Linked DNA regions of Caenorhabditis elegans. The protein of the gene in region 1 interacts with the protein of each later gene in a pairwise test. Each region holds a gene or a part of one and is shown in the gene's direction. Other genes may lie near its edges. The genes, in order: nurf-1 and nhr-5.

Region 1 (13,985 bases):
CTTCGCGCCAACTTCACATTATCAATAGGGCGCGATTGCACGCAACACTTGCAATGTTTTTAAAAATTAAAAATTGTTTGTTTTCGATTTATTCTCTCGTCTTTTTCGTCTTAATACAATTTTCTCCCTTTTTAAAACGCAATATTCTTTCAGAATGAGCAACTCAGAGCCCAGCACATCAACTCCCTCAGGAAAAACAAAGAAGCGCGGGAAAAAGTGCGAAACTTCTATGGGAAAATCGAAGAAATCGAAAAATTTGCCTCGCTTTGTGAAAATTCAGCCAATTTTTTCATCTGAAAAAATCAAGGAGACCGTGTGCGAACAAGGAATTGAAGAATGTAAACGTATGCTTAAAGGCCACTTCAATGCTATCAAAGATGACTATGACATTCGAGTAAAAGACGAGCTGGACACAGACATCAAAGATTGGTTGAAGGATGCGAGCAGCAGTGTTAATGAATATCGCAGAAGGCTGCAAGAAAATTTAGGAGAGGGCAGAACTATCGCAAAATTTTCATTCAAAAACTGTGAAAAATACGAAGAAAACGACTACAAAGTCTCCGATTCCACAGTTACATGGATCAAACCGGATCGAACGGAGGAAGGAGATTTGATGAAGAAGTTTCGTGCTCCGTGTTCACGTATCGAGGTTGGCGACATTTCCCCGCCAATGATATACTGGGTTCCAATCGAGCAAAGTGTGGCGACTCCGGATCAGCTGCGGCTCACGCATATGCCGTATTTTGGCGATGGTATTGACGATGGGAATATCTATGAGCATTTGATTGATATGTTCCCAGATGGAATTCATGGATTTTCGGGTGAGAAATTGCAAAATACCGGATTTTTTCCATTTTCTCTGAGAAACCCCCAAAAATCGAAAAAAAAACAGGCGGGACGAAGGTACCATTATTTCTATTTATTTTTACATTTTACATTCAAATTGCCTAATTTCTCACTTTTCAGTGAGAAATCGCCGTAAAATTTTTTTGAAATTTTATTTCAATTAATGTCATTTTGAATGTCAAACACAAAATTAGTTTTAAAAAATAGCCTTGAAAGTGAAAAATGCGAAAAACAAGTTCCCACTTGTCCACGTGTAGTTCTAAATGTTTCATAAATCGACATGCATCAAACCTCGGGACAATCTTGCAAATCCTTAGCTCCAGGTATTTTTTAAGCGAATTGATGTTAAATTTTTCAGACAACTGGTCCTATGTCAATGATTGGATACTCTACAAACTATGCCGTGCTGCGCTCAAAGACTACCAAGGCAGCCCAGACGTATTCTACTACACCCTCTACCGTCTATGGCCAAACAAAAGTTCACAGAGAGAATTTTCGTCGGCTTTTCCCGTTTTGTGCGAGAACTTTGCTGAAAAAGGATTCGATCCGTCGAGCCTCGAACCATGGAAGAAGACAAAAATCGCTGAAGGTGCTCAAAATCTTCGAAATCCGACGTGTTACGCGTGCCTCGCATATACATGTGCGATTCACGGATTCAAAGCCGAAATTCCAATCGAGTTTCCGAATGGTGAATTCTATAATGCGATGCTTCCGCTGCCAAATAACCCGGAAAATGATGGAAAGATGTGTTCTGGAAATTGCTGGAAATCGGTGACGATGAAAGAAGTTTCAGAAGTTCTTGTGCCGGATTCTGAAGAAATTCTGCAGAAAGAAGTGAAGATTTATTTCATGAAATCAAGAATTGCAAAGATGCCGATTGAAGATGGAGCGCTCATTGTGAACATTTACGTGTTCAATACATATATTGTAAGAGTACGCGATTTTTGCGCCAAAACCTGGCCTCGACGCGACAAATTTTTGTTAAATGCGAAAAGGCGTGCGTCTTTGAAGAGTACTGTAATTTTAAATTTTCAATAATTTTTCTAACAAGGGAAGAGTTCAAAAACTATTCCTGAATTCGGAATAAAAATAGTGTCATGCGATAGTTGGAGGTCTGAGATGATCCCTCCGAAACATTTTTATTGAAAAATTATATTTCCAGTGAAATTAATTTCTCGCAAGTTTTCTCTTTTTTTTAAAGCTATAAAGCTTGATTTTGCACCTTTTTCGTTATTTTGTTTTTCATTTTGCGTTTAAGAGTTTGTATATTATGTAAATCAAACTATTTTAAACAAAAAATAGCGAAAAATAGGAAAAAAGGGTGCAAAATCGAGCTTTATAGCTTAAAATGCAAAAAATCCATTCTCAGCCATTCTGCGAGTTTGTCAAAAAATATGTCGACGAAGACGACGAGGAAAGCAAAATTCGTTCATGTCGTGACGCATATCATCTAATGATGTCGATGGCAGAAAATGTGAGCGCCCGACGACTTAAAATGGGACAACCGTCGAATAGATTGTCAGTTGACGCGATTTTTTATATAAAAAATTGAATTGTTTCAGAAGTATCAAGGATCGAGTCAACAACTTCCGTCGTAATCAGTTGAGTCAGGAGAAGGCGAAGCGTAAGCTGCGTCACGACAGTCTGCGTATTCAAGCATTGAGAGATGGTCTGGATGCGGAAAAATTGATTCGAGAAGATGATATGCGTGATTCTCAGCGAAATAGCGAGAAAGTTCGCATGACCGCGGTGACGCCAATCACAGCGTGTCGACATGCGGGTGAGGAATGGAAAACAATTATGGGGTTATTCGTGAAATGTAGAAAAATGCAATAATTTGTTTTTATACATTTTTCACCTACCCATGTGCATCGAACAATGTAGCATTAATTTTTTGCATTTTTCGACATTTTTCGGCATTTCCTGCATTTTTCGACATTGGGCGACATCCCACTTCTCATGCTGAAGGCGAGACACGCAGAGAAAACCCGCGGGTGCATATCTCTCTGCGTCTCTCGCCTTCAGCATGTGAAGTGGGCTGTCGACCGATGTCGAAAAATGCAGAAAACGAATATTTTTTTGTATTTATTGGACACACATGTATTTATTGGACACAAATGAATGAAAACACATTTTTGCACATTTTACTACATCGCATTAATAACCCCATTAATTGAAAATTAATTTTTAAACATTTCAGGCCCATGCAACGCGACAGCCGAAAATTGTGCATGTCGTGAAAACGGAGTGTGCTCGTACATGTGCAAATGCGATATAAACTGTTCTCAGCGATTCCCGGGATGCAATTGCGCCGCCGGTCAGTGCTACACGAAGGCTTGCCAGTGCTATCGAGCCAATTGGGAATGTAATCCGATGACGTGTAATATGTGCAAGTGAGTGCACAGGAATTTTTTGAAAAGTTTTTTTAGTAAGCTTTAATTTTTCAGAACTTCCAGAAATGGAAATTTTAAGAAAGGAAAAAATTAAACTTTCCAAAAAAAATTGATCGAACTGAAAATTTCTCGAAAAAGAAGGACCAAATGTCCATTAAAAATCTTCAATCAAAATCCCAAATTTAAAAAAAGGTATATAAAATCAAAATAGCACAGAAAAATCGAATTTTGTACCTGAAAATTCTCAATTTAAAAACAAATTCAGATGCGACGCCATCGACTCGAACATAATAAAATGCCGCAATTTTGGAATGACTAGAATGATCCAAAAACGAACGTATTGCGGGCCATCGAAAATAGCAGGCAATGGACTTTTCTTGTTGGAACCCGCCGAAAAAGACGAGTTCATTACGGAATACACTGGTGAACGAATTTCCGATGATGAAGCCGAACGACGCGGTGCGATATATGATCGATATCAGTGCAGCTACATTTTTAGTATGTACTTTTTTTAGATCACGGTGTCGCAGAAAAATGTTTTAAATTTAAATTTTTTTTGGGTTTTTAGAGACAACATTTCGATTTTTTGAAAATCAAATAAATAAGAAAAAATTATTTCAAAAAATTAACAAAATATCGAAAAAAAAAACCATCAAAAGTTTTCTTTTTTTTTGAAAATTCAATTTTTCGGAACAAAAAAAAATATTTTTGCAGACATTGAAACCGGGGGTGCGATCGATTCGTACAAAATTGGAAACTTGGCACGATTTGCCAATCATGACAGCAAGAATCCGACGTGCTACGCGAGAACGATGGTTGTCGCCGGAGAGCACCGAATTGGGTTCTATGCGAAGAGACGGCTTGAGATTAGTGAAGAGCTCACATTTGACTACAGTTATTCTGGAGAACATCAGATAGCGTTCAGGTAGATTTTGCAAAAAGCTTTTCGGGTCTCGAGACGACTGCAGCTACCGTACCCTCTAGTTTTTTCCACTCAATTTTTAAAAATTTATAACACAAAGATTTTTTTGGATCAAAAAAATCATGATAAGCCGTAGAAAATTGTGGTTGGTTACGGTAGCTGCAAATTTTCGGTCGCTTCGAGAACCAGTTTTGTGTAGACTTTCAACTTGACTTTTTGAATAAACTTTTTCCAGGATGGTCCAAACCAAGGAGAGATCCGAGAAGCCCAGCAGGCCCAAAAGCCAGAAACTCTCCAAACCAATGACTTCTGAATAATCTTTTTTCTTGACTTTTTTTCTTAAATTTTTCCCGTTGATATCACTTTCAAATCTCAAGATCTACTTGTTTAACTGTTATTTCCCTAGAATCTCATGTTTCTGAATACATTTTCCTTCCTTCAAATTTCTGAAAACCATAAATATAATCGAATCAAAATTCCTCCTATAAAATCGCCCGACACAGCACAATTTTTTCACTTCTTCCTTAAAGATGGTGATTTTCTTCTTATTTTTCTTATTTCCCATGCTGCTGGAGGCTTCGGAAACGTAAGTTGGATTTTTTTCTGCAGGAAAATCTGAAAATGACAAAAATTCCAGTAGCAGAAGCTTAATCGAACCACCGGCCGTAATTCCTGAGAAACTCAAAACATTTTGCCAGATCGATCCAACGTACGAGATTTGCGTGAAGCTTGGCATTCCGAAAGCTGCGAGAAAGTTTGCAGCGAGATCCAAAATCCAGGGAAGACAGAGAAAAGGCGTCGATTGTAGGCAGGCCCCATTGCATCCGGGTTGTCAGAGATAAAAATGTTCCAAATATTATAGAAAAATTCCAATTATAGAAATGTGTACCTGGACAAGTTCATCGCGTGGAAAATTCATCACGATTGCGAGGTGAATCCAAATGGAGAATTTTGCCCGAAAACTTTGAATCGGAGAGCTTCTGCTTCTTGTCCATCCTCCTCCACATCTTCATCGTCTTCTTCGTCGTCGTCCTCGTCTTCCTCATCATCATCCTCTTCTTCTGAAGAATCCCTGGCAAGAGTGAGACCGGCTCCTGTAGAAACCACGACATCACAAGAAAATCCACAATCTTCCGCTAACACCTGGGAACTTTTGAACAAATTTTCCTCGAACGGAAGAGAGAAGAGTTTCCCTAATACCTTCTACGGAACAATTGGAAACTATTGAAATGTGATGATGATAACAATATAATAAATGAAATGATTTAATATACATGAAAAGAAGGCATAATTGATACGTGGATGAAAACCAGAGTTAGACCAAGATGTTGGAGAGGTTCGATCTGAAAAAAATACACGTTTAGTTTATAAAGAAGGATTTTTTGGTTAAATAGCTTTAAAATGGACCTATATAAACGAGTCTGGTGGTGAAATATCAAAATTTTTACCGCTCTTCAGTGCCGCCCGCATAATAATAATTAAATAAACATTAAGTTCCGACTGCTGCCAGCCACACAGTAAAGTAGGCAAAACTGAAGATTTTAGTCCAGATTTTAAAAACTTTTGAGCAGTTTCTTCACAAAACTTATTTTTAATTAAATCCCTTACAATTTCTTTCTATTCCCATCGTTAGGCTCATTCGGCGTGGTTTTCAAGAGATTGACGTCATCCGTCCACTTCGCAGATATTGCTTCCAATTTTTCTGGAGTAAATCAGATAAATTGTTTCAAAGACTATCAGCTTACTGTTAAATTCCCGCTCATTTCCAATTTTGTTCTCATCGTCCAATCTTTTTAGTTTTTCTTCCAGTTGCTCAGTTTCAAACATATTTTTGTTCAGTAGCTGTTGTTCGAATGACTGTTGCTCGTGGCGTTCTGAACAAATGTTTTGTTTTATGCACACATCTAAACAATTTCCTTGCAAATTTACCATCGATATGTTTTTGAGCATCGATTCTCGTTTTCATAATTTTTTCCTGGCATTTTTGGAGTTTCCGCATTCCTTCATCAACTAATTCGTCTTTCTCATTGACTGCCTTAAGACGATTAATAATCTTGTCCATATACTCGTTGAGTGACTCCATTTTGCCGAAAAACCTGCAAAAATTCAATGAAAATCGGTTAAAAACTAAGATAAATAAATAAAAATGCGACAGCAAAATTAGCAAAGATAAATTCCAACTCAAATTCCCGCGTCAAGAGGGCCAAGGTCTCGTCGCGACCATTGCAAATAAATGTGTGCGCCTTTAGGGTGTGCCTCTCGCACTGAGTCGATTTACGGCGCGGCGCGTTCAAAAAAGTGTCCAAACTGATTATTTAGACGGAAAAGTGAAGGAAAATTTCGGAAAATTATTATTTTTCCTTTTTTCCCATTGTTTTTTATGTTTCCACTTGAGAAAAGCCGATTTTCCGCTGGAAAATGAGTTTTATCCCATTATCGATTTTTTCAGCTTCAAAAATTAAGATTTCGTACTGTAGTTTACCAATCCTGGATCCTTTTTTAATGTATTTTTATCTAATAATGTTATATTCCGATTGTCATTTCTCGCAAATTTTATTGATTTTCCTCCAAAGACCATATGATGACGTAAAATCTTTTTTTCTTGGATTTCAAGCTCTTTTTCACAATTACCAGTGTTCTAATTTGATTTTAAATTTATTCCTTTCGAGGCTTTCAATATTTTTTGACGAACATTCTTAAGCTTATCGATTTTCGAAAAGTTTCGAAATTTTTTCAGATGGCTCCACCACGTGGCCGTTCAAAGCGAAAGCATCCGTCTGAATCCGGAAATTCTTCAATTGCCGATTCAGAAGACCCATCAGAATCCACATCATCATCTCGTCCACGCCGCAGTCGACTTCCGAAACGTTATTTTGACGACGGTTACAGTCCACCGCCAACAAAAAAACGTGCGGCTCAACGGGAAACACCATCAGACGCCGAGGAGGTGGAGGTGAAGATTGAAGAGATCTCGGTTAGATCTACACCTGCGTCAACACCAGCACCAAAGAGTACCTCGAAGGCTAGAGGGTGAGAAATCAAGAAGAAAAATAATTTCAGAAATTCCGCTGATTTCAGATAATTTTCAATTAAATGCTTTTTTCAAGTTTTAACGCAAATTCTTAGGATATTTCCGCTTTCGTCAAATTTTCAATCGAAAAAACGTATAATACGCTTTTTCACGTCGTTCACAACAAATTATTTAGATTTAAAGAAAAACTATGCAAACCCATTTGCGATGTACAAAAATTTGTCGTTTCGAGATCATATTTTCGCGCCTGGGTAATACCGAATACAACTGCAAAATGTTTCGAATTTTTGCAAATATTCAAATTCCGAAGGAACTATGCTTGCGTTCTCCGGCCAATTTTTCGGGTTTTCTTGATTTTTTCTCATTTTTTCAGAAATCGAAAATTCAAAATTCTTTTTATGATAGTTTTGCGGAAAAACGCCTGAAAACGAGGCTACAATTTGCATAATCAAGAAAAACAAAAATAAAGTGTTCCGCAAAAAAATTAAATTTTGTTTTCAGAAAAATGGAATTTTACTCAAAAATTGAGATTTTTTTTTCACAATCATGGATTTTTTTTCCAAAAAATTGGGAATTTTTCTGAAAAATCCCAATTTTGCAAAATTAAGAATATTTAGAAGCTATATAAATCTGCCTGTTCAGATTAAAAATAAATTCCATCAATTTTCAGCCGACCCAAAAAAAATCCAACTCCACCACGTCGCAAATCGCTAAAACGCCAAGAAGAAGACATTATCTACATGGATGAGGATTCTGAAGAAGAAGAAGAATCTTCGGACGATGAGTTCATGCTAAATGAGGATCAGGTTGTTCAGGAGGAAGAGGAAGAGTTGAATTTAACAGATATTAAAATCGAAAAAGGTCTCGACGAGGAGAACAAGTATTGTCCGTGGTTGGATGAAGATCCTGCAAGTCTACCAAAACTCGAACTACCAGAATCTAGTCAGGATATTCCGATTCCAACGGCTAGTATAATGGATGCTGTTGAAATTTACGAGATTCTCCGATCTTATCATCGAACTCTCCGCATCACACCCTTCACTTTTGAGGACTTTTGCGCGGCACTAATATCGCACAACAACTCATGTATTATGGCAGAAGTCCATATGGCTTTGCTTCGTAATTGTCTGAAATCCGACGATGAAGAGCAGACGCACTACTCGGTGACCGAGACGAACAATTCTGTAAATATAATGATTCACCATATGGATACACTGACCTACGCTGAAATTCTACGACAATATATTGAGGCGTACCCGTTTGCTGATGCGTCTGTTAGAGATGCTATTAATGTCGATAATTATCCGTTTGTGGGATATGATGCAAAGTAAGATTCAATTTTAAGAAAAATCCTTTTTTTTTTAAATAAAATCGCAGTATACAAAGAGACTTTAGTTTTTTTTTTAATATTAAGCATGTTTTCAGACTCGTCGTCCTTCTCTTCATGAGCTACCGTTTCTTATATTCGTCGGAATTTAAGAAACTTGTGAATAATGTTGGAAAATTCCAGGTAAAACTCTCGTTATATAAAAAATTTAACTGAAAGAAATTCAAATGTTTTTTTTTTCAGAACGACGAAAACTGCCGAGTTTGCGGTAAATCGTCAGGACGTGTAGTAGGTTGCACTCAATGCGAAGCCGCTTTCCACGTGGAATGCAGTCATCTGAAGCCATTTCCTGAGGTTCTTGTATGCAATATATGTAAAAAGAATTCAGCAGTTCGTGGTGTACTGCCGCCGGATGAAGCTGTCGACCGGGAACCGTTAAGATCTCAACCAATCGGAAGGGATAGATATGGACGATATTATTGGTTCATTGTTCGACGTCTTGTTGTGTAAGTTTTTTAAAGTGGAGTAGCGTCTGTGCTTTTTTTACCTGAATGATAGAATATCGTGCCTATATACCAAATATAACTGTAAAAAATTATAACATTTTTCTAAATTTTTTAATGATTTGTTTCAATTTTGAAAAAATAAAAAGGGCTCAATTATTTTTGAATTGTCGCGCAAATAAGTGACGTCTTTTTCGGATGTTTTGATTAGTTTTTCTTCATTTTTTCTTTGTTTTAATATTTGTAGATTTTTCAGACATTTTCCGGACAGAACACTTTTAGAGGCCAAATTATCGATTTTTAGACAAACTTTAATTTTTTTGGCACATCAATTTAATGTTTGAATAAGTATTCTAAAATTTGCCTAAAATTTGCCTAAATAATATGATATTTTTAAAAGGTTTTTTTACGGAAAAAAAGTGTCTGAAAAATTGACGTTCAAAATTTTCAAATTATAAAACAAAGAAAAAATAAAGAAACTCCAATTAAAACAGCTGGAAGAAATGCCGTCACTCATTACGCACGGGAATACAAAAATAATTCAGCCCTTTTTTTCAAAATAAAAAAAATCATAAAAAAATTAGAAAAATGTTATAATTTTTTAACAGTTATCGTATATTCTCTATTAGTGCTGCATGTAGCACTAATTTTCCTACCCTTCTTGAATGCAGCACTATTAGAGACTGCAGTATTACTGGAGACTGCAGCATTAATCTTCAAACGGCAATTTTCAATTAGAGAATACTAGTTGTTAGTCACAAAACCTCTTATTTTTAGCAGAAATTCATCAAAAAATATGAACTTTCGTACCAAGAATGACCCAATAATTCAATTATGTTTGTAAATAAAAAGAAATAATCAAAAATATGCAAAACAACTCCCCAAAATGCCGAAACTACTAGTGACTCTTCCAATTGAAAAAGGGACGCAGCACTAATAGAGACTGCAGCACTAATTTTCCTACACTTTTTGAATGCAGCACTATCAGAGACTGCAGTACTACTGGAGATGCAGCACTAATAGAGAATATACGGTATACCGTATTTCCTCTATTAGTAAGGCGTCTCTAATAGTTTTGCACCTCTATTAGTATTGCATCAAAATTATCTATCGAAAAATAGTTTTGCCGCCTCTATTAGTTTGGCACCTTTCATAGTTTTTCACCACTATATTTCTGTCCTATTTTTTGAGATTCCAAAATTTGCAGTATAAAATCCTTCAACAAATCAAAAAAAAAACTCTTACAGACATGGTATAACATTTTTTACTAATAGAGGAAATACGGTATTTGGTATATCGGGACTGTATTCTGTCATTGTTAGGGCAAAAACCCACCTTTAACTATTTTATTGTTGGCAAAAAATTAATATTCAATAATTGCAGTCAATCCCTTGATGAAACGGAACTTTACTACTATTCAACAGTTCCACAACTCTACCAACTCCTTCAAAAACTTGATCGAACGTATTACGAAAAGGATCTTTGTGATACGATTCGCCTTCGAATCGACGAGTTTTTGGAGCAAATGGCTTTGACAGTGGAGATGACGTCAGAACGGAGAGAAGCTGCATTGGAGACGATGGTGAAACGGCAATTGATCGGATATGATTTTGCTGAAGCCACGACTCCGCAGATTTATCTTCATAGGGATAGCAGTTAGTTTATAATTATGGACCGTTAGCCTCAGATTAGAGGCATCACAGATTCAAGATCTGGCTCGATGCCAACGCATTTTTTCTAAAAAAAAATCGCAGTTGGTACGGTGCCAGATCTGGAAATCGTAGATCCCACCAGATCTTGAATCCGTGGAACCTCTCAGATTAATCAACGAAACTATTACAGTGAAACGAATGGCATCAATTCTTCGGGACTGTGCTCAAAAGGGACAGGTGAAGCAAGAAGTCAAGCTGGAAGAGCCCGTCGAAGGACAGTCGCCAGTGAAATGTGTTCAATTTGTCGAAGATTCCATTCTGCCCGAATCAATGATTGGAATTTTCGATGCGAAACTGATCAACACGTTTTGGAGTGGTGGGGCGACGCAAGAGGAGCTCGTCGAACAGTTTGTCGATATTTCGGACAACTTTGATGCCCCGAGTGCAAACCTCTGGCGGATGGGAGATGAGGGGAATGATCAGACATTTATGACGTATTATAATTATTATAGGTAAGCTTTAATTGATTTAATTTGAAAAATTTCTTGGAAAAACAATAAAAACTAACTGGAATGATCGAAGAAGAATTAATTTTAAAAATCTAACTTTTCAAAATGTCTACTTCAACTTTGCTAAATTTCAAAAAAAGTGACATATTATATTTTCTTTTAAAATAAAACGTTTCATAAAAACTTTTTTCTTTGCCATTTTTCTCTCTAAATTTAATTTTTGACCAATTAGAAAAATACCGAAATTTTTTAGAATTCAAAGCAATTATCTGTAAATGTACTTGTTTAAATTATTTCTAAAATTTTTATTATTGCAGTCGAAACGAGATGTCTGAGAGCTTCCTAACCCGGAAAAAGGCGGCGGATAAAAAGAAGTATATGGCGTCAAAATTCGCTCAAATCGACAATTTCGATTGGGTTGTGGCGAAAAATCGGCAATTCTACGGAGACGCGAGCCTCCATTGCAAGTTCATCATGTGGACGCTACAACAAGTCATCAAGAACATCCCGATAGATTTGATGCATAGGAAATGGCCTGAATTCGCCAAAGGTTTCGATCTGGAAGTTTCTGTGGCTGATGACTACAAGAAGCTTGTCACATGTCTTCTCAAACTGGATTGTGCCGTTCGAAAGACAATATTCATGCCGCAATGGTGGAATGGATTGGGACAAACTCGACTGGAAAGGATTACTGTAGATCAGAGGGAGAATTTTATGAAAGAGCAACAGAGGCTCAAGAAGATTGACGCGGTTAGTAAACAATTTTTTTAGAAAAAAAAGTGAAACAAGAAATTGTGGTTCAGGACGCCCTTACCAAAGATCTTGATGATAGTTTTGTCCGAGTGAACTACATGAAACCGAAATGGCCGAACACCTATATACTTCGACAGCGTGGAGAGACTTATCGGAACGCTGGAAAAGGATCGATGGGTGGTTGGGCGTGGGTGGCGGCGAAATACGTGGAAAAATGGATCCAAGTTCCCGAATCACCGAAGTTACCGCTGGCGGTCACTGTTGAGGAGATAAAGGTTGGAGATTAAAAGTTTTCCAAAAAAATGAAATATTTTCAGACTGAAAGCGTTTCGAACCGGAAAGCTCGTCGACTTGAGCTGCTGGTCAGCAAAATAACTAAAAAACGACAGCGAAGTGGTGGAAAAAGCTCGAAAAAACCAACATTTGAGCTCACAAATGGGTGTTATTCGCCATCTTGCCGATCAAATCCCAACCGGAAATGCTATTCACCAATGTGCCGAAATGGTTATCTAGTCAGTGCTAAACAGGCACACGATGAGCGAAAATTAGAGGAAAGCGGAGTTTTGGGCGAAGAAAAAGCATGGCCGATACCAGAAATTCAGACTTTTTCGACGAAACGAGGAGGAAAAAGCATTTTTGTTTTGCAGAAAAAGTAGGAGAGTTTATCATCAAAAAAAGTACGAAAAGAAGCGGAAAACTAAAAATTTCCAATTTTTACACATTCTTTCGAAATTAAGAAAAAAGCGAACATGCGAGCATTTTGTGAAAAATTGGGAAAAACGCGAAAAACACGCAACATCTTTTTTTTCTATACAAATTGTTCAAAAAGTAGAGGAAAACTGAATATCATCAATTTTTCACAATTAAAAAAAGGCGCAAAAAGAATCTTAAAAGCGAAAATTTTCGACAAAGTAAAAAAAATGCAAACAATTTTAATTTTCAATTTTTACACATTTTTCCAACAAAAAAAAGTGCAAAGAAGCGCAAGGCGGAGTTTTTTTGAGAAAGTGTGAAATAACATAATATTTTCCAATTTTTTCAAAAAATTTTTTTTCTGATCGTCATTAAAAAAATACTTTAGAAATAGAAAAAATGGTTCCGGTAATTTTTTTTGATAATATTGAAATTAGACAGTTTCCTACGAAAATCGTGGAAAATTTTAGATTTTTCAGTGTTTTTTATAATAACAAAATTGAAATGCTCTAAATTTGCCGACCAAATTTCTCATAGTTTTTTTTTTGGCCGAAAAACCAAAAAACTATATTTTCTCCCGAAAATTCCTAAATGTTTCTCTATACAAATTAAACAATTTTCTCAAAATCTGCAGTTCCAGAATACTTCGTCAAATGATTATGGGCGGTGGATGCCAACAGGTGTATATGCCAGGATTCTCAGCTGGTATAAAGAGCAATTTGCTAATATGGCCTTATCCGGCACCTCGACCAACTCTGGATTTGTGTTGGAAGTACGTTTTTTTAAACGTTTTTTATCAACTGTTGCAGAAGAAAAGTCAGAAGGAATTTTAGAAAAAAAAATCGACGTTCGGGAAAAAAATAAAAATTTCGAAAAGTGAAAATCATATGTTCAAAATTTTGAGTGAAAGTTTTGTAAAATTTCCAAATAGACTTTTTGAGGCAAGTCCGGCAATTTGCCCGTTTGCCGACCACCACTGGTTTAACTAAAATAATTAAAACACAGTTGAAATATAAAAGTCGAAAATTTTTGGCACATTTTTTAGGGCTAAAGTTATGACATGGTCGAAAACTCGAATTAAAACTGTTTAACAATTTGTTTCTTCTAGACGAAATCAAACATTTGTAATCAAAAAGTAGGGTTTCCATGGTAGGGAGGCGGTTTGAGGGCCTGACGCCTGCCTAAAGTCTGCCTCTTTTTTTGCATTTTCAAACATATTCAATTCTATTTTTCAGATGGCAAACGCTGAACGCTCGTAGCCTTCACGCGGTGGCTCTTCAACTAAAAATCATTTGGTCCTCCATCAAATTCAACGAATTTGATCCAGACGACACTCATCCGGATCGTCGTGTCGTC
Region 2 (16,942 bases), on another chromosome or scaffold:
CTTTCGACTCGTTTTTCCAGTTTTAGTTGTTGTGGAATATGTACGCGTAAAAGTGTTGTGTAAAAAGTTCAAAGATCCATCTTGCATTTGTTGTCTGCGGCCGACAAAAACCGGGTCCGTCAAGCGGACTCTACCGCACATTATGGCGGCCTGTCAGGTGTCGGGCGCTTGATTCATTTCTAGGGAAACAAAAACTCGCGTTGTTAAAAAGATACTAATCTAATCCCAAGCGTAATCCCAAATTTTTATATAAAAATTTTATTACAGTTTCATGTCGGGAGTAAAAAATTAGCACAATTTGTTCAGATATTGAGCACGTCATATTTTTATTATTACAAAAAACAAGTAGTTTGGCGCGTTAAAAAATTTCTACTTTTCCGTAGACAAATTTGAAATTTCGAAAAATTGTGCTGTTTCATATTGGTTTTATAAGCTTTTCAATTTCTAACGAAACAATAATTAAATTTACTTTATGACGATTTAATGCAATAATTTAAGCTTCAAATATTCAAAAATCCCTGAATTTCAAAAAACGTGACTTTTGAAAGTTAAGATTATCTTCTGATAAGATAAGGCAGAATACAAAAAAGATGAAAATGTTATCAGACTTTTTGCAATTTATCAGAAAATTTAGATGATCCTAGGCATGGTGATTATATGGGTGGAAGTGAGAAGAGATATTTCATTTCGTCGCAGAAACTTTTTCTCTTCCCCACTGATAACTGATTTACGGATGTTTTTTAGTCAGAATTTTTGTACCTTTACTGTATTTTCTGATTTGATAAGGTTTTTTTTCGATTATCGGAAAAACAAAAAATTTAATAGCGCCCGACGTCTCACGGGAAAATTTCTGAGCCACAATGGTTTGATGAGATGCCGTGAAAATGTCTTTAAAAAAACTACCGTTTCACACAAAACATATAAAAATCTTTCGGTTTTCGGATTGATTGCTTTAGAACGCTCACAGAAATTTTCTAAATTTTATATGTTTGTTTGAAAATTGGAAAAATCTCAGTTTTGCCACTTTATTGGGAATCGTCGCTTGAAAAATTCATAATATTTTAGTGCCTGCGTATGTCTCAAATATCTTAAAATTCAGGCATTATAGAGTTTTGAATATGCGACAGTGTCATAGTTTTGAAAAATTTTCCTGTTTCATCAAAACATTTAGATTTATTCAAAAACGTCTTCGATTCCTTTTCGGAATATGTGTAAATTGAACAAAATTTTACTGTTTCACTAAAAAGTCATATTTGACCAGACTTTTCTTACAACTTAATTTATCTTCTTTTTCGCCGAACAATTAATCAAATATTATAAAAATCTGACGCTTTGGGAAACTGTACACATTTTCAAAATTGTCAAAAGTTTATTTTCTGAAGTTGAAAATTGTTTCACTGTGTGCATATTTAATGTAAATTTAAACATCCTTTGATTCCGTTTTCTTTTTTGGAGTTTGTTAAAAAGTGGTTTAATTAATTTATACAGTAGGGAAACTACAACTTTTTCAAACTTTTTCTTCGTAAAGTTATAATTTTCGCTTCTAGTTTATTAATGAAAAAAAAACGTATTTTTTGTGAAACAGTACATATTACTGGCATTCTCCAAAAAAATGTCTCAGTATTAGATTTTTTGGAAAAACATTGTTTCGCTATTAAGTTATTAGAAGTTGTACTCGGAGCTTATTGATGAAACAAAATTTAAAAAAAGGATGGAAACATAGCATTGATACTAAAATTATCAAAAAATTTGGGTCTTGGAAGTACATATTTGCAATTTTTTGTAGACTAACGTATAACAACTATTTGAAAAAGTACTTTGAATTCGAATTTTAGGAAATTTAATAAAAAATAATTAGAAAGCAACCCAAACAAAAGTTTGAATGAATTTTTAGTGAATTTATGAAACATGGCGCATAAAATTTTCCAAAACTTGAAATTGTAAATAAAAAATTATTGGTTGGCGGGATTGTAGTGGAGCTAAAATCTCAAATAAAATGTTTCAACTAGTCTTCAACTTGACCTAATTTTTCTCAGTTCAATGAAATTGTAGTAGACTGCTGCCAAAAGATTCTTTTTTTTTGCAATAATATTCGACTATGTGACTAAATTTTCAATTTTTTGTTCGACCTATTTATCAATTTTAAAGTGAGATAACCAAATTTCACTTCTACCGGAAACAGTAAAATTGTTTTGTTCCAAATTTGCTGATAAAATTAGTTTTGAATGAAAAATTGTTTCACATTTTCCTTTTTAAGACAGACTCAAAACTTTCTCAGTATGATATTTTCTCTCCCTCTTCCTGAAAAAAAATGAGGTTTTTATTTTCTCAGTCACGAGGAATACCATCTGACTTTAATTTAAATAAGTGGATAAAATTCTGTCTGAAACAGAAATTTTTTTAAAGTTTTTTGTTCCGATTCGTTCCCAGAAAACTAGTCTCAACTAGACTCATAGCCAATAAAAATCGTAAATCGGATTTTCCATTGAACGTATTTTTAAAAAACACGATTTGGACTTTTAAGTCAGATTTTGTCTAGTATTAAAATTATTATCATTTTTGAAGAAAATATCACAAAGTAATAATTTTTTCAAACTGTTTCAATGTCTCAATAAATTTTTTTGAAAAAATTTAAAGGACAATGACAACTTGTTACTTATAGTTGAAAGTAGGTGCCATGCTAATTCAAAAAGTTTACTGTTTCACAGTTATTTGAATTAAAATTTAATAGGACACAAAGGTGCTTTGTGCTTTTTCGAAATTTTGAGTTTTCTTTTTTTTAATTTTGTTCAGGGAAGTATTTTTCTAATTATGCTAAAGTTTTTTTTCTTTTTTTCTAGAATATTCTTACCAGTTTTGATGTAATAGATAGAAACGGTAAACTTCATATACTTAGATTTTCTGCTTTTTTTGAGTACTGCTCTACAACAGTGAGATACCCTGGAGGAGAGGTAAAACATATTTTCGTACGAGATCCTACCATTTTGAAAGTTTATTTAAAAATGCCTACTTCACTAATAACTTTTCTACAAATGACTAGAAAATAAAATTTTTTAATTGGAAATGTTTCAAAGATTACTGTTTCAAAATTTCCATGTAATTATTTCTCGTTAGAACAAGAGTAATGTCCAAAAATTCAGAATCCAGTTTTCATTAACAACACCTGTATACGGAAAAGTTCTGAAAATGCTTTTCTCTTTATATTGAGAAGCAATTTACAAGACCCGACATTTCACCAACAATCCTTTTGGGGGAACCCGCAAGATGTCGGGCGCTATCAGACTCAAAAAAAACTCTGCTAAAGTGTGCCGTAATAAAAAAGTAGCAGCCGACATATTGTCAGATTTCTGAGGGCAGCCCCGCGCGGTGTCGGGTGCAGAGTAATGTACTTATTCTCAAATTTCAATGATTTAGCAACATTTTTTAAAGTTTTCTTCATCCTTTTCTACCACACAGTTAGAAGAATAGTGATACGACCTTTAAAATTTCCGGGAAATTCAAAAAAAAAAAAACAAATATTGCTTCAACATTCTCATAAACCCTGTTACTTTTCAACGGTAATAATCTTGTCAATTTGTGTTAAAGCCGCAAAAATGTCTTTAATAATATTTCAAAAAATTGATCCAAGTTTTCCCTTTAGGACTTTAGGACTTACGGTAGAATATTTTAAAAATTGCAACAAAAAAAAAGAATATTGTTTCACAACCTCCATAAAATGTTCAGTGTTCCTTTAATCCCATTCGTATCGTTTTACTTACAATTTCCATTTTACTGAAATTAAAAATTTTCTCGTGATAAAAACGATTTCTGATATATTGCGAAGGCCAAATCGATCCAAATAATCAATCACCTCCAAACTTTGATCGTTCAACGCAAGAAGCCCGCTTAATTTGAAAAAATCGTCGTATTGGTCAAGTTTCAACTTCCCATCACTTTTCTCTCTCTCTCTCTCTCTCTCTCTCTCTCTCTCTCTCTCTCTCTCTCTCTCTCCACTAAATACTTCCAACCGCACAGTTCAAAGATAGAAGATATTTATTCCATGAGATAGTGTGCTGGACTGAAGAGAATCAGAAAATCTAGTCTTCTGATCAGAGAGAGAGAAAAAGAGACACATGACCGTACTTGACGGCGACTTGTTTGTCGGTAGAGGGGGCCTGATTCTTTTTTGTATTGATTTCTCTCTTCTGGGTTACTGATAATTCACTTTTTTGGAAGGAATTTTTGTGTTTCCGCGCAATAATGTTTTTTTTCTATATTTCGAGAATTCAACTTAGGTAATCAACAAGACGAATACTGCTGCTTACAATTTTTCCAGATCCCATAATTTTGAAACTGTAATAAAATTAACGAAAACATTTATTTTTTTTGCTAGCAGATTTATTAAGGGTTTTTGGTAAAAATCAGGAGGTTGTTAGAAATATTAACTTTAATGAACTTCAGAAAACGGTCTAGAAAATTTGATATTCCAAAATCTCATAGCATTTGCTAGTAAAAACAATTTAACAAATAAGCATCACCATTTTAATAATTACTGAAACAGCAAATTTTCAAAAAAAAATTACATAAAACTAATTTAAAGCGTTTATAATTTATAATTCAAAAATGTCTACTTTTTCTGAATGTTCTTATATTTTGAAGTTAAGTTTCTCGTTATTACAAAGTTGCTTCAATGTGAAATTTATACGCAAAAGCTTTGAATTTTGGAATAGCTTCTTCTATTTTTTCTGTTTCGAAAAAATAAAATTCGATAATTTTTTACCGAATTTTTTTTTGGTGCAGAAGAGATTTTAGAAACGGTAGAAAATGGTGGTTTTCAAGAGTTTTCAAATTTTTATTTTTAATAAAAAGTTATGTATTTTGAATATCCCAAATGTTCAGTTAATTTCAAAAAAAATTGATTGTTAAAATTCACAATTTTCTACTTTTTCTGAATGTTCTCAAATTTTAATATAATTTTTTGGAATCAATAATTGTGTCATATTCAAACTTACCAAAAATTTCTTAAAAGTGTATATAAAACTTTTCTGGAATAGCATTGCATTTTTCATCGTTTCAAAAATAAGACTTTTTGATTTTGGTTTGATTTCTAATTTTGAAAATGATTTAGAATAATTAAAATTTTGGTGAACACCCCCTATTGTCAGTAATATAAAATCGGAGAAATTATTGATTTTTTGAAACAGTAATGACACTTTTTGAATACAAATTTTATTTCTTCTGTAATATTTGTTGTTAATTATTCTATTTTTCCCATAATTATCCTTTTTTTTTTTCGAAAATCTACTTTCAAAGAATTTTTTGTAATTTCTTAATTGATTCCAGCTTATCATTTGAGATACCAAAAAAACCAGATATAGCAATTTTATAACAAGACAGGCATTAATTCACACTCTCATTGAAACAGTGGAATTTTTAAATTTTCGATTTTTTGAATCTTCTCTTCAATTTTCTTTTCATCTAATCATTTTTTTTTCAATTTCAGATAATCAATCTCATTGCAAAGTCTTTCAATTTAATTTGACATCAATTATGTCTTCTGGCGGTAACAGTTCAAATGTGAATAGAAATTCTGGGAGTAGCAATGTGATTACTTTGAATGGTATGATTCCCTGTTTGACCAAAAATTTTTAAACTTTAAAATTTTCAGATTCTGACGAAGAAACCGAGGACAGCAATTTGGGCAGCAGCTCGTCCACAAATCTTTGCAAAGTTAGTTTCAAATCTTTGCAAAGTTAGACTAGTATTGCACAAAAATTTCTAAAATTGTTCTAAACTTTTTGAAACAGTAATTTTTTTCCTATAAAAAAAGTTTCCACACTTTTAAAAGTTCCTCACTAAAATGTTCTGTGACCAATTTTTGTTTTATCGGATTACGGAATTTAGAGTCTGTTTGCATCATTGAACCACTCACAAAGGGGCACATATTTTGAAAAATCACGTGAGTTTTCGTATATGTAGTTAGGACGGGAAAGTTTTTTTCAATAAATTAATATTATTGTCTAAAGCAATTGCCATTCCTGGAGAAGGTGAAACAGAGCTTTATAAATTTTAAATTAAGTTGACAAAGATTTAAATACAAAACTTATCCTGAATCTTCGTTGCTACAAGTTGCAAATTCCCGTAAATTAAAGTAAAAAAATTATGGGGCACATCAATTACATTTCAGGTATGCGGAGCCGAAAAAGCTGCTCTTCACTACGGAGCACTGAGCTGTGTCGGATGTAAAGGCTTCTTCCGTCGGGCTCTTCTGAAGGCTGATCAACTGGAATGTGCTGCAAATGGAGAGTGTACAGTTAGTGTTTTGCGTGAGTTTGACATTGGGAATTGCGCAGTTTTTTACTTTTTTTTACTTTTTGAAAGCTATCAAAGTCATATTGACATTCTGTTTGAGTCAAAATGTATATTTTAGTGTTGAAACAGTAAAAATTATAAATTCGTTAAATAATTTTAATCATAAAACCTATGCAATTGCGCGCTTGAAACAGTTTTTCCTTTACCAAAGTCAATTTATTGTGTTTTTTCTTTCAGAGAAAACCCAATGCAGAAGCTGTAGATTCAATAAGTGCCTACGCGAAGGAATGAATCCTGCTTGTGAGTTTTATTTTCAATCCAAAATTTTTGGAATTTTTTATTTATTTCTATACGATTTTTAAATCGTGACATAAGTTCGAATATACATAAAAATAAATCGTTTTCAGTTAATACCTGAAAGTAAATTTTATTCTTGAAACAGTAGTTTTTTTTTTCAATTTTTGATTTTCCAGACTTTATACGTTTTGTGTTTTGATATCAATTCAATATTTAATTTTTCCGTTTATAATATAGCAAAAACAAAAAAAAATTATGCAGTAAAGCAGTTAAACATATTTGGAACAATATAGCAGTTTCGAATGTATTAAATACTATTGAACTCCCCTTTTTAAGACAAAAATTATTTCAAAAATTTTCAGTTTCAAGTTTCCCATAAATGTTTCAGCTTTTGTTTTAACGGTACTCATCCTTCAAATTTAATATGATATCTCAGATGTCCGCCCAAACCGAGACGCACCTCCAAAGCCACGTAAGCCGACAACTACAGTAGCCACGTGCGATCAAACTGATCGTGGTAGGACCACAAAAAGCCGCGAGGAGTGGATGAAAAAGATGACGGTTGAGATGAGAACAATATTAATGACACTGTTGAATATTGAGACAAAAGTAGGTATTTCGCGCGGGGGCCTCGGTTATCGTCGGCTGCTGACACAATTTCTATTAATTACAGGTAATGAAAGGAGATACACAACAAGAAGCATCAAAACTGTACCCGCTGAAAGGAATTGATAAGCTCAGTGATATCATTGAAACACCGATTCAATTAAAAGGAAAACGAACAGAAATGAGATATGAAGCATACAGAATGGCTGGAAATGATGAGTTATGTGCAATTGCCTATCGGAGGTTGATTGCTGCAATTGATTGGGTTGAATCGCTGTCACCACTGTTGGGACACCTAACGCCTCAGGATAAGGTAATAAATATTCTTTGCAAAGTGAGAAAATAATGGAATTTAGAAAAAATAAGTTTTAGAAAATTGAAAAAAATAAAAAAAAAATATTGCTTCACCCTATTTATTTAACTGACGTTTGTTTCTACAAAGCGCTCTCCATTCATTACTTGCTACATGGCTTTATCCTCAAATTTAGTTTTAAAGTGGATTTAATTATAATTGCTAGTTTTTCTTCAACTTTCTGGCCTGATACTAAATCTCTTTGAAAAACTTTGATTTCGCTGAAAAAAAGGTGAGAAGTTGACACAGAACACCTTTTTTCAATAGTTACTGTTTCAAAAGTCTTTAAAAAAAAATTCCAAAATTCCGAAATTCCAAAATTTTATTTTTCAGGATTTTTCTAATGTTGACTGCAAATACACTTAAAATAAAAAACTGCGTGGCGTGTACTGCAGACAACCTAATATTTAGGCCCCGCCTTTTTTTCGTCTACTCACGGGATAAAGGCGAAATTCGGGACCCCAACCAATATCATACCGCCGACATCTCACGGGTTCCGCGCGCCGCTGCGTTTAACTCGCTGTGGGCGTGGTGAGCTGTCTCCGCCCGCTGCGAGTTAAACATAGCTGCGCGTGGAACCTGTGAGATGTTGGCGGCCTGATATTGGTTGGGGTCCAAATTTTTGCCTTTTCTCCGTGAGTGGACGAGAAGAAGGCGGGGCCTAAATATTAGGTTTTCTGCAGTACACGCCACACAGCTTTTTTTCATTTTTAGTGTAACATCATTTGCACAAAAAAATTGGTTTCAAATTGTTTTCAAAAAAATTCCCAATTTTAACTTAAAAATCACGCTTAATTAATAATATTCCCTCAGATAGCACTGGTCAAATCTTCATTCGCCCCACTTATGGTCTTCAATTTTTGTGCGAGAACAGCAGAAGCTTGTCAGGATGAGAATGTTCTATGCCTTTGTAATTTTGCATATGTTCCACGGAATATATCAAAAATGTATGAGGACACATAGTGAGTTTTAGTTTTTTTGAATTATTTTCTTGGACTTTATGAGAAGTTTCAATATTAAATAGAATAGCTAGCTAGAATTCACTAACAATGTGAAACAGTAAACATTTCTTATTCATATTTGTTTATAAAGTACATATGTGTCCAATTTAGGAGCTTGACGGAAAATTAGCGAGGCAATCACAAAACCTTACAACAATTTGAGAAACATTTTTTCCTAATTTCAAACACAAAAATAATGTTAGTGTAACAGTGAAATTTTTTAAAAATCAACTAAATTGTTTTCTAGGTATTTCTTCATTTTAGAAATGAATTTCTAAAAAAATTCTTTTTTGTTTAATTGATAATGCCAATTGAGAATATTACTTGTACAAATGCTTTCACGACTTTAAATTTTCATATGTACATATGTTCTTTGCTCTTATTTAAGACTTATGACGCCACGCCACGTTGTGTGAGTTTGACAGCAAATTAACGGGGAAATCAAAAAATAATAAAATATTTTGATAATGCCATTTGAGAATAATACTTGATTTGTCTATATTTTGAAGACAATTTTCACTTATTTGGTTCGATGTTCTTGTAATTAAAGCCTCAAAAAGATCATGCACTTTTCAAATAAGTTTGAAACAGTGAACAATTTTTCAACTTGAAATGTTTATTCTCGTTCCGTTTCGGTAAACTATTATATTAGTCAGCATTTTCAAGAATTCATTACTTTTGTATTTCTTAAAATCATTTCAAAATTTCAGTCACCTCGGCAACGGACTCGTGGAACGTGCTCTAAATGAGCTTGTAGCAGTATATCGGGAATATGGTATGAGAGAAGAGGAAATTGTTTGCGTGAATGCAATGATTTGTCTGAATCCTCTGGCAAAAGATGTATCGGATTCTTTGTTTGAAAAGATTGTTGAGCTGAGAAATCGAATTGCTGATTGTCTTTTTTCAATTGTTAAGGAGGTTCGATTAAGTCCGACACCGAATGTATGTTACGGACATATACTTCTTTCATTGGCTACTGTTACAGTAAGTTCATATTTGTTTTATTTGTTTGACGTTGAACAGAGTTTTTAAGGGATTTGAAACGTTGTTTTATTTTAAAAATTGATTTTTTTAAAAATGGTAAAACTTTTTTTCCGTTTCGTGTAATGATAAGCAACAATGGGTTTCGAGTGATTTGTTCAAGGCGCTTTAAACGTTATAGGCTTTTACTGATTTGACGACGAGAAAAATATTTGTAGAGGGTTAACTCACAATTTTTTTGGAAATGTTCAACTAGAAAGAAAATGAAATTTTAAAGTATTAAAATCTTAACTTTGCTTCTACACAGTCACACATTTAAAAGTTAAAATTTTGAAAATCTACCGTTTCAACAATGTTTGATATTCATTTATTATAAATCTGAACTGTTTGTTTTTGGATTCATATTTACTTGCCTCATTCGAATTTATTCTAAACTACTTTTATAGTTCATAACTTCTCCAAATTCATGTTCCCCAATTTTTGCAGGAACTAGCAAATGCGATGAGTGAAAATCTCCAATTTGCTCAAACATTTTCAAATCAAGGAGAAATTCCACTTCTCACTGACTTATTCGGCTGTTTCACAGTTGAACCATTTTTCAAAGAAGTCGACGAGCTGGCGGCAATGAGTTTGGAAAAGGCGAAAGCTGAAAAGAAGAAGGAAATGAGTACACAAACTGATAGGTTGCCTCCTCCAAGAGCATTATTGGTCAGTTTTGATATGAATTTTGAAATTTCAAGAAATTGTAGAAATACATTGTTCTGCCAAAAAAAATGATTATTTTTTTCGATTTTTTTTTAAATTATAGTTTTCAATAATACAAAAGAGACCAGACTCGCAACACATTTTAAATTAGAACATGATTTACATTAACTTGACGAAATTGTACTTTTTTTTGAAAAAAAAAAGTTTACTGTTTCGTGGCTATCATTTAATTCAATACCAGACTCTTTCATATTTTATGCAGTTCTCTAACCGAGTAATATTTTCAGAAACGACAAGCAACTATCGATGAGGACAGCGAAGAACCTGCTCGACAGAATTTTCGACTTTTGCAGCCTCCAAACAATTTCTACATTACTGAAATGTTGGATGATTTGAGGGTGAGCTATATGTTTTTAGCATTTTTTTTTCGTTTCCTTTGTGTTTGCAAGTTCCCCATGAGACATAAAGAGTCTGAAATTTTTATGAGTTACTTATTCTTTTCACAGTTTTCAAGTGATTCAAAATACCAGTAAGTTAATATGAAATATTTTTCTTCATAAGCGACCTGCACATCATTGTGTTTTTCCATTAGTCATTAGTTTTTCAAAACTAGTTGAAACATACAATTTTTCTTGAGAATTCCAATTCCAAACTCTTCCGTTTTGTTTTTTTTTTAAATCTACTTTATTTATGATTTAGTTTTGAAAACGAATCACATAAAGTGAATAGAAGTTTATCAATTTTCAAATTTATTTTTTTAAACAATCAAATTGTTATATTTAGCTAATAAGAAATGATTTTTTTAAAACTCACCTAATGTTAATTTTTAGAAGAAAAACAAATTATTCTACATTTTTATTAAAAATTTATTATGTTCCATCTGAAAGAAGATAGAAATTAAAGCTGAAATTATATAACTGATATTTATAAACGTTTTGAAACAGTACGAAATTTGTTTTTTTTTTCAAATTCTTATTTCTCGACGATTTGTTATATGGAATAGCTTTAAAAATCAATTTTATATTAACAACTCGAGAAACTGAAAATTTTGAAACAAAAAAAATTAAATCAACTGTTTCATCTACTCTATATTTTCTTTCCACTTTAAAATTTTTTTAGTTCGCTCGTGTTGGCAGATAATTTCAATTTTCAACATTTAAATGTTTTTAACACTATTTAAATCCTTCAAACAAGAACGTTAATTTCTAAAAAAAAGTATTTCTAAAATTAAATCAACTGTTCTACTCACTCCATATTTTCCTTCGCTTTAAGATTTATTCAGTGCTTCTAGCAATTCCACAATACCTACTTTTCCCATTTCCCACATTTTTTCCATTGTCTCCCTACGTGTTCCAGGCACCCTCTTCCACCCAATCGTCGTCTGATGATCCTAATTCTGCTATGGTATCCACACTGTTTTGAAATTAAATTTTATTCATTTTTCAGAACAATCACGCCGAGAATCATTTGATAAGTCTCAACTTTGACGCTTCAAACGTTTCGAATGCAATCGCTTCGAGACCCAGTTTTGAGGATTTGGGTACTGTACCAAGTGGTTCAACAGTAACACGACGAATTGGGAGTAATATTCAAGGTTTGTGATTTAATGATATTTGAAACGGTCTGATATATTGAAAAATTGTTCGACAATTTGAATTTATTAACATTGTGAAACAGTAAAAAACATGTTCTAAAATTTGTGTTTCTGGAGTTGCCAAAAACCATTGCTCATGAAAAAAAAACACATTTTCAACATTTCCAGGACCATCCCACCTCCCTCAATGTGGTTCTACAGTAACCCAAAGACCTACAGTACCCTCCTCCACAACATCCTCCACATTCTACAATTTCCCTCCACCACCTGGTTATCCACCATTAAATGCTGGATACACACCGAATGTCAACTATCCGAATTTGTATCAACAACCACAGTATTTCCAGAATTTTCAGCAAAATAATTACCCATCTCAAGTCATGGAACAGCAAAATTATGGAAATGTTGAAAGTACCAGTTACCCATTTCCACGAAATGATGGTTTTGTGTATAATCATCCGAATATTCCATACTCACATCATAATAATAGTCTACAACAAAATAATTTTCATAATCAATATGCAAATTAGGTCTTCAAATGATCAAGCGTCCGACACCTGACGGGCCAGAACCCGTAAGATGTCGGGCGCTTTTCTTTTCCCCCTCCTCCTCCACATTTCCTACAATCCGGTGGCATAATTCTTCACTTTTCATATGGTTTTCTATTTGGTCAAATGCTGATGATTTACGTGTAATTTCTCCCGAATTTCTATCAAATTTCTTTGCGATTCTTGCGATAATATGTGATTTTCAAGGTTTTATGAATAAAATTTTATATTAAACTTTTGTGTGTTTTCAGTTTTTGTTTTGCAAAAATTTTAATTTTTTTAATTTGACTGGTATAATACGAGGCAAAGTAAAGCACAATAATCTTTGATAATTTTGTAAAGTTTTTGAAACGGTAGATTTTTTTAAATAATTTTTTTTCAACACTTAACAGCTCTATACTAATTTCACGGTGAAATGTTCTGTTTTTCGATTTTTCCTGGTCAGATTAGGGAATTCGAAGTTTGTTCTTATTTTCAACATATATATTACAGAATGATGTGAATTTTTGGTTTTGAAAACCTTGATTGATTTGATTTAATCATCAAAAAATGATCATTTTATGTAGAAAATGTGAAACAGAGCATACACTTTTCTCGCCACTTGGTTAGTTCCGAGCATTTTTATATTGATTTTTAATTTTTTTTTTCAGAACCTTACAAAAACAGATTTTGAAATTCGAGAGGTCCACGATAGCCCGGCTTGCTCCCAGGCGGACATGCCTACCGTGCCTACCTTATTTTTTATTATTTCGCAAATTTTAGAGCTTATATAATATTTGACACCATTTGTCACAAAAATTCTCGAAAATTGGCATTTTTATTTATATTTAAACTGTTTAAAAATCAATTAAGTTTATCGGCATTCGGAAACAGTAAACTTTATTTCGAAAAATGGTTAGTAGAATAAAATATTTGTTAAATGAGAATATACTTTTAGAGAATAGAAAAACAATTGCTCCAAAAATTAGGCAGCTTCTTCAAATTAGTGAAACATGAAAAAAGTTAAAAAAAAAGGTCTCAAAAAGAAATTGGACAAATAAATGTTAAAAATTATATAATAACAAAAACCTGAAACAGTACTCGAATATTTTCTACTACAACTTTCGAAATAAACCCGACTCAGCAGAATTTGTGAAATTTTTTGAAAACAAATACGTCTTGAATCATGGTAAATGGGTCTCGCACGGATTTCATAAGCTTTTATAAAGCGTTTTCTGACTTTTTGAATGAAATTTTCTTAAAATTACCGGAGTTTCTTTAAAAAATGGTCATCAAATGTGATATAACTAAAATTCGAAAACTTTGTCAAATTTATGAAAACAGTGAAACATTATTTAATTCCTAAATGCTTAATAAATGCATTGGTGGCAAGTTTTTTTTTAAATTTAATTTTCCACAGAGTAAAGTTGTATATTATTTCGAAAAGTTGAAAAAGCAAAAGGTGAGAGACAGGTCTGCAGAGCCGAAAAAGCTGCTCGGAGCATCAAGCTGTGTCGGTGGTAAAGTCTTCTTCCGTCGGGCTTTTCTGAAGGCTGATAGACTGGAATGTGCTGCAAATGGAGAACTTGTAAAACACATCAACTTTTTATTGATTGGAAAATTGTTGTGGTAACGAAATTGTTGTTGCCCCATTGACACTATGATTAAAACAAACTTTAAGTCTCAGTGTTGAAACTGTAAAAATTGTAAATTCGTTTATAAAAAATTTAAATCCTACGTTTTTCTAAAATTACGCGCTTGAAGCAGTTTTTTTATTAAAAAAAAAAGAATTTATCATTATGTTTGTAGGAGAACTCGTCCCTTTCTTTTCATATCATTCCTTTCTTGTGACTCATAGCACTTTTAATATCACAATGATTGCCTTGCAGTCTAAGTTGCATTCTTCCCCCTTGTCTCCCGTTGTAAGATTCTTCCTATTTCTCGGCCCCACTTATTCTGTATTTATACCAGCTCTTAGGAGCTGTTCTATCTTCAATAAACCGGTCACTGCCTGACCACAAACCAACAATGTTTTTATTTTAGGCATAACTCCATGCAGAATCTGCAGATTCAACAAATGTCTACACGAAACAGTTTAATCGTTCTTCAGTGTTTAAGTTTAAAAGGGGAATATATAATATTAAGATGTTCTGTATAAAAACCGTCGAATAATGAGAATATCTACATTCGTGGCGCAAAATATCTCTTAGCAACTTCTACCGTAGTATTCAATTAAAAAAAACAATTTGGACAATTTTTGGTGAACGGCCAGAGTCACTAAATTTGGTGAACGGCCAGAGTCACTATTTTTGGTGAACGGCCAGAGTCACTATTTTTGGTGAACGGCCAGAGTCACTAAATTTGGTGAACGGCCAGAGTCACTATTTCTGGTGAACGGCCAGAGTCACTATTTTTGGTGAACGGCCAGAGTCACTATTTTTGGTGAACGGTCAGAGTCACTATTTTTGGTGATCGGCCAGAGTCACTATTTTTGGTGAACGGCCAGAGTCACTATTTTTGGTGAACGGCCAGAGTCACTATTTTTGGTGAACGGCCAGAGTCACTATTTTTGGTGAACGGCCAGAGTCACTAAATTTGGTGAAGCAGTGTATTTTAAAATCTAATGTTTCAGAATATCATTAAATTCCAGGAAGATTTCAACAATCAGTTTTATTTCATCTATGAAACAATATTTAACCTTACAAACTAAAATAGATCCAAAAAAAGAACCAAAAAAGAAAAAGAATCCAAAAAAAACGAATGATTCCTTTGTTTTTCAAAACTCTGACTATTTATTTTTTAGCTTTTTTGAATTAAAACACTTTTGCGCCTTCTTTTTTGAACTGTGATTCACGTTTCAACACGCTATTATCAGTAGTCGTTCAGAAATCTTTTAATGGCAATTTTATTTTATAAAATTGGTTTGGAAATGAATTTTCAATAGCAATTTGCTCGTAATGGAACCTAACATAAATCAAATTTTTATTGTAATACAAGTTATTACTTCCTTGGAATAATTGTTAACTTTCAGTTTTTTTGAAATCAGATCTGTGAAAACAATGATTATAATAGTAATGTTGACTATCTGTTCACAATAATTGTTTAAAAAATGTTTATGAGCTTTGACAACATATTGAAACAATAATTTCCCAAATTCATTTTAAAAAGTTTTTGTATGTTTGTATTGCCATCGACAGAAAAAAAATGTTAAATATAAAAACGTGCTTGAAGGTGTTATTTTGAGAAAAACTATACCGACCGTATCAATAATTCTAGATGATTTTTTTTTGAGTCTGTTTCACGTTGTTTTCATTATTAGATTCGATTTTTGAATAATAGTGGTCTGCCAAAGAACACGTTGTTAATATATAATATAACTTTTCAGCGTTAGCCAAATTTTCACCAAATAATATCCTATCGCACTATTCGGAGCAAACTTGGCTTCACGTCCAACACTTTTTGGGTTCCGCCCATCGCTATAAAGATTTCGATCGCGGCGTGGGAGCGACGCCGGATCGGAGCCCTAGAATGACGTATACATTTTCACAATGTACCATATCAACTCTCACACTTTATGATATTTAACTTAATTTTATTTATTTACACTCGCTCTCGGAGAGACGTGGAGAAAATTTTTTAAAAAAACACATACAGTTGATCAATTGATACAGCCAATCATTTAATAGATAAACTATAAAGTCATGCCAACTATAAATTTTGACGATATATTGAAACATTACTCTATTAATAGAATGTTCAGTTTGTTGCTTTTGCATCGGCAGAAAAAAATGTTAGCAATGAAAAATGAAAACCTGTTTCAAAATTGTTATGATAAGTTATGATAGTGTTATGTTATGATATGTTATGATATGTTATGTTATGTTATGTTATGTTATGTTATGAGGTTATGATAGTGTTATGATAGTATACTACAATCGTCAATGCACACAGACGGTGAAAGAGCAGTGATTGACGGTGTAGTGGGGATAAACAACAGTTCACTGGATTTTTTTAAAAGAATAATTCTGATGATACCAATTTTTTTCTGAAACCAACCTAAAAAATATGAAAACGTATTGAATTAATTAAGAAACAGCAATGTTTACTTTGTGTTGAAAACCAAAATTGGACACCAACAAATTTAAAATTTTGTTATATACAGGATTGTTATATACACTTCAATTTCAAAGACAACAATTAAAAAGATGTATAATTTTTTTAATTACATTTTTTGGTACTTCCTTCTTTGGAGAACGCATAACGTTTTACCTCGAAATTTCTACTATTTCACTATACTCATTAAACATTTGGATTCATGTGTCTTTGCTTGCAGTGAAGCTCTGGATTGAAAAAAAAATTAGAACAGAACTGTAGACAGATAATTGATTAAACACGAAAAGCCATTACAGAAATTGAATTACAAAGAGCAAAGAAAGAAAATTGAATTCAAAAATTGTTTTGGAATCTTAGGTTACTATCGGGAGTTTGCTAGTTTTCGTCGTGTTGAGGCAGGAAATAAGGAAATATTGTTGTTCCAGCCACTTCAGCTAGTTAAAAAAAAAATTGTTTCATGCTGAAGAAAACGTGA

Evidence for each region.
Region 2: the proteins of nurf-1 (region 1) and nhr-5 interact in a two-hybrid assay, tested with the Caenorhabditis elegans proteins (one large-scale study listed by BioGRID).

What each region holds. Positions count from the first base shown.
Region 1 is NC_003280.10:14,383,822-14,397,806, forward strand, and holds the start of nurf-1 (DDT domain-containing protein), read left to right. Parts: upstream 1-6,892; 5' UTR 6,893-6,898; coding exon 6,899-7,191; intron 7,192-7,862; coding exon 7,863-8,519; intron 8,520-8,617; coding exon 8,618-8,702; intron 8,703-8,762; coding exon 8,763-9,025; intron 9,026-10,405; coding exon 10,406-10,677; intron 10,678-10,864; coding exon 10,865-11,186; intron 11,187-11,500; coding exon 11,501-11,933; exon of another isoform or gene 11,934-11,986; coding exon 11,987-12,211; intron 12,212-12,253; coding exon 12,254-12,588; intron 12,589-13,263; coding exon 13,264-13,401; intron 13,402-13,864; coding exon 13,865-13,985. Other genes in the region: Histone-lysine N-methyltransferase mes-2, read left to right, coding at 155-821, 1,205-1,773, 2,216-2,364, 2,409-2,626, 3,047-3,239, 3,505-3,737, 3,954-4,164, 4,397-4,478; F26H11.8 (uncharacterized protein), read left to right, coding at 4,692-4,747, 4,799-5,003; kbp-3 (Kinetochore-binding protein 3), read right to left, coding at 5,477-5,504, 5,770-5,863, 5,907-6,035, 6,091-6,244. UniProt on the Caenorhabditis elegans protein: Histone-binding component of a NURF-like (nucleosome remodeling factor-like) complex, which would catalyze ATP-dependent nucleosome sliding and facilitate transcription of chromatin. Involved in vulval cell fates.
Region 2 is NC_003282.8:15,394,804-15,411,745, forward strand, and holds nhr-5 (Nuclear hormone receptor family member nhr-5), read left to right. Parts: upstream 1-5,473; 5' UTR 5,474-5,529; coding exon 5,530-5,599; intron 5,600-5,647; coding exon 5,648-5,709; intron 5,710-5,719; exon of another isoform or gene 5,720-5,740; intron 5,741-5,968; exon of another isoform or gene 5,969-5,989; intron 5,990-6,166; coding exon 6,167-6,305; intron 6,306-6,353; exon of another isoform or gene 6,354-6,374; intron 6,375-6,484; exon of another isoform or gene 6,485-6,505; intron 6,506-6,528; coding exon 6,529-6,591; intron 6,592-6,666; exon of another isoform or gene 6,667-6,687; intron 6,688-6,768; exon of another isoform or gene 6,769-6,789; intron 6,790-6,994; exon of another isoform or gene 6,995-7,015; intron 7,016-7,024; coding exon 7,025-7,197; intron 7,198-7,261; coding exon 7,262-7,507; intron 7,508-7,639; exon of another isoform or gene 7,640-7,660; intron 7,661-8,359; coding exon 8,360-8,508; intron 8,509-8,538; exon of another isoform or gene 8,539-8,560; intron 8,561-8,691; exon of another isoform or gene 8,692-8,713; intron 8,714-9,070; exon of another isoform or gene 9,071-9,095; intron 9,096-9,220; exon of another isoform or gene 9,221-9,241; intron 9,242-9,257; and 29 more. UniProt on the Caenorhabditis elegans protein: Orphan nuclear receptor.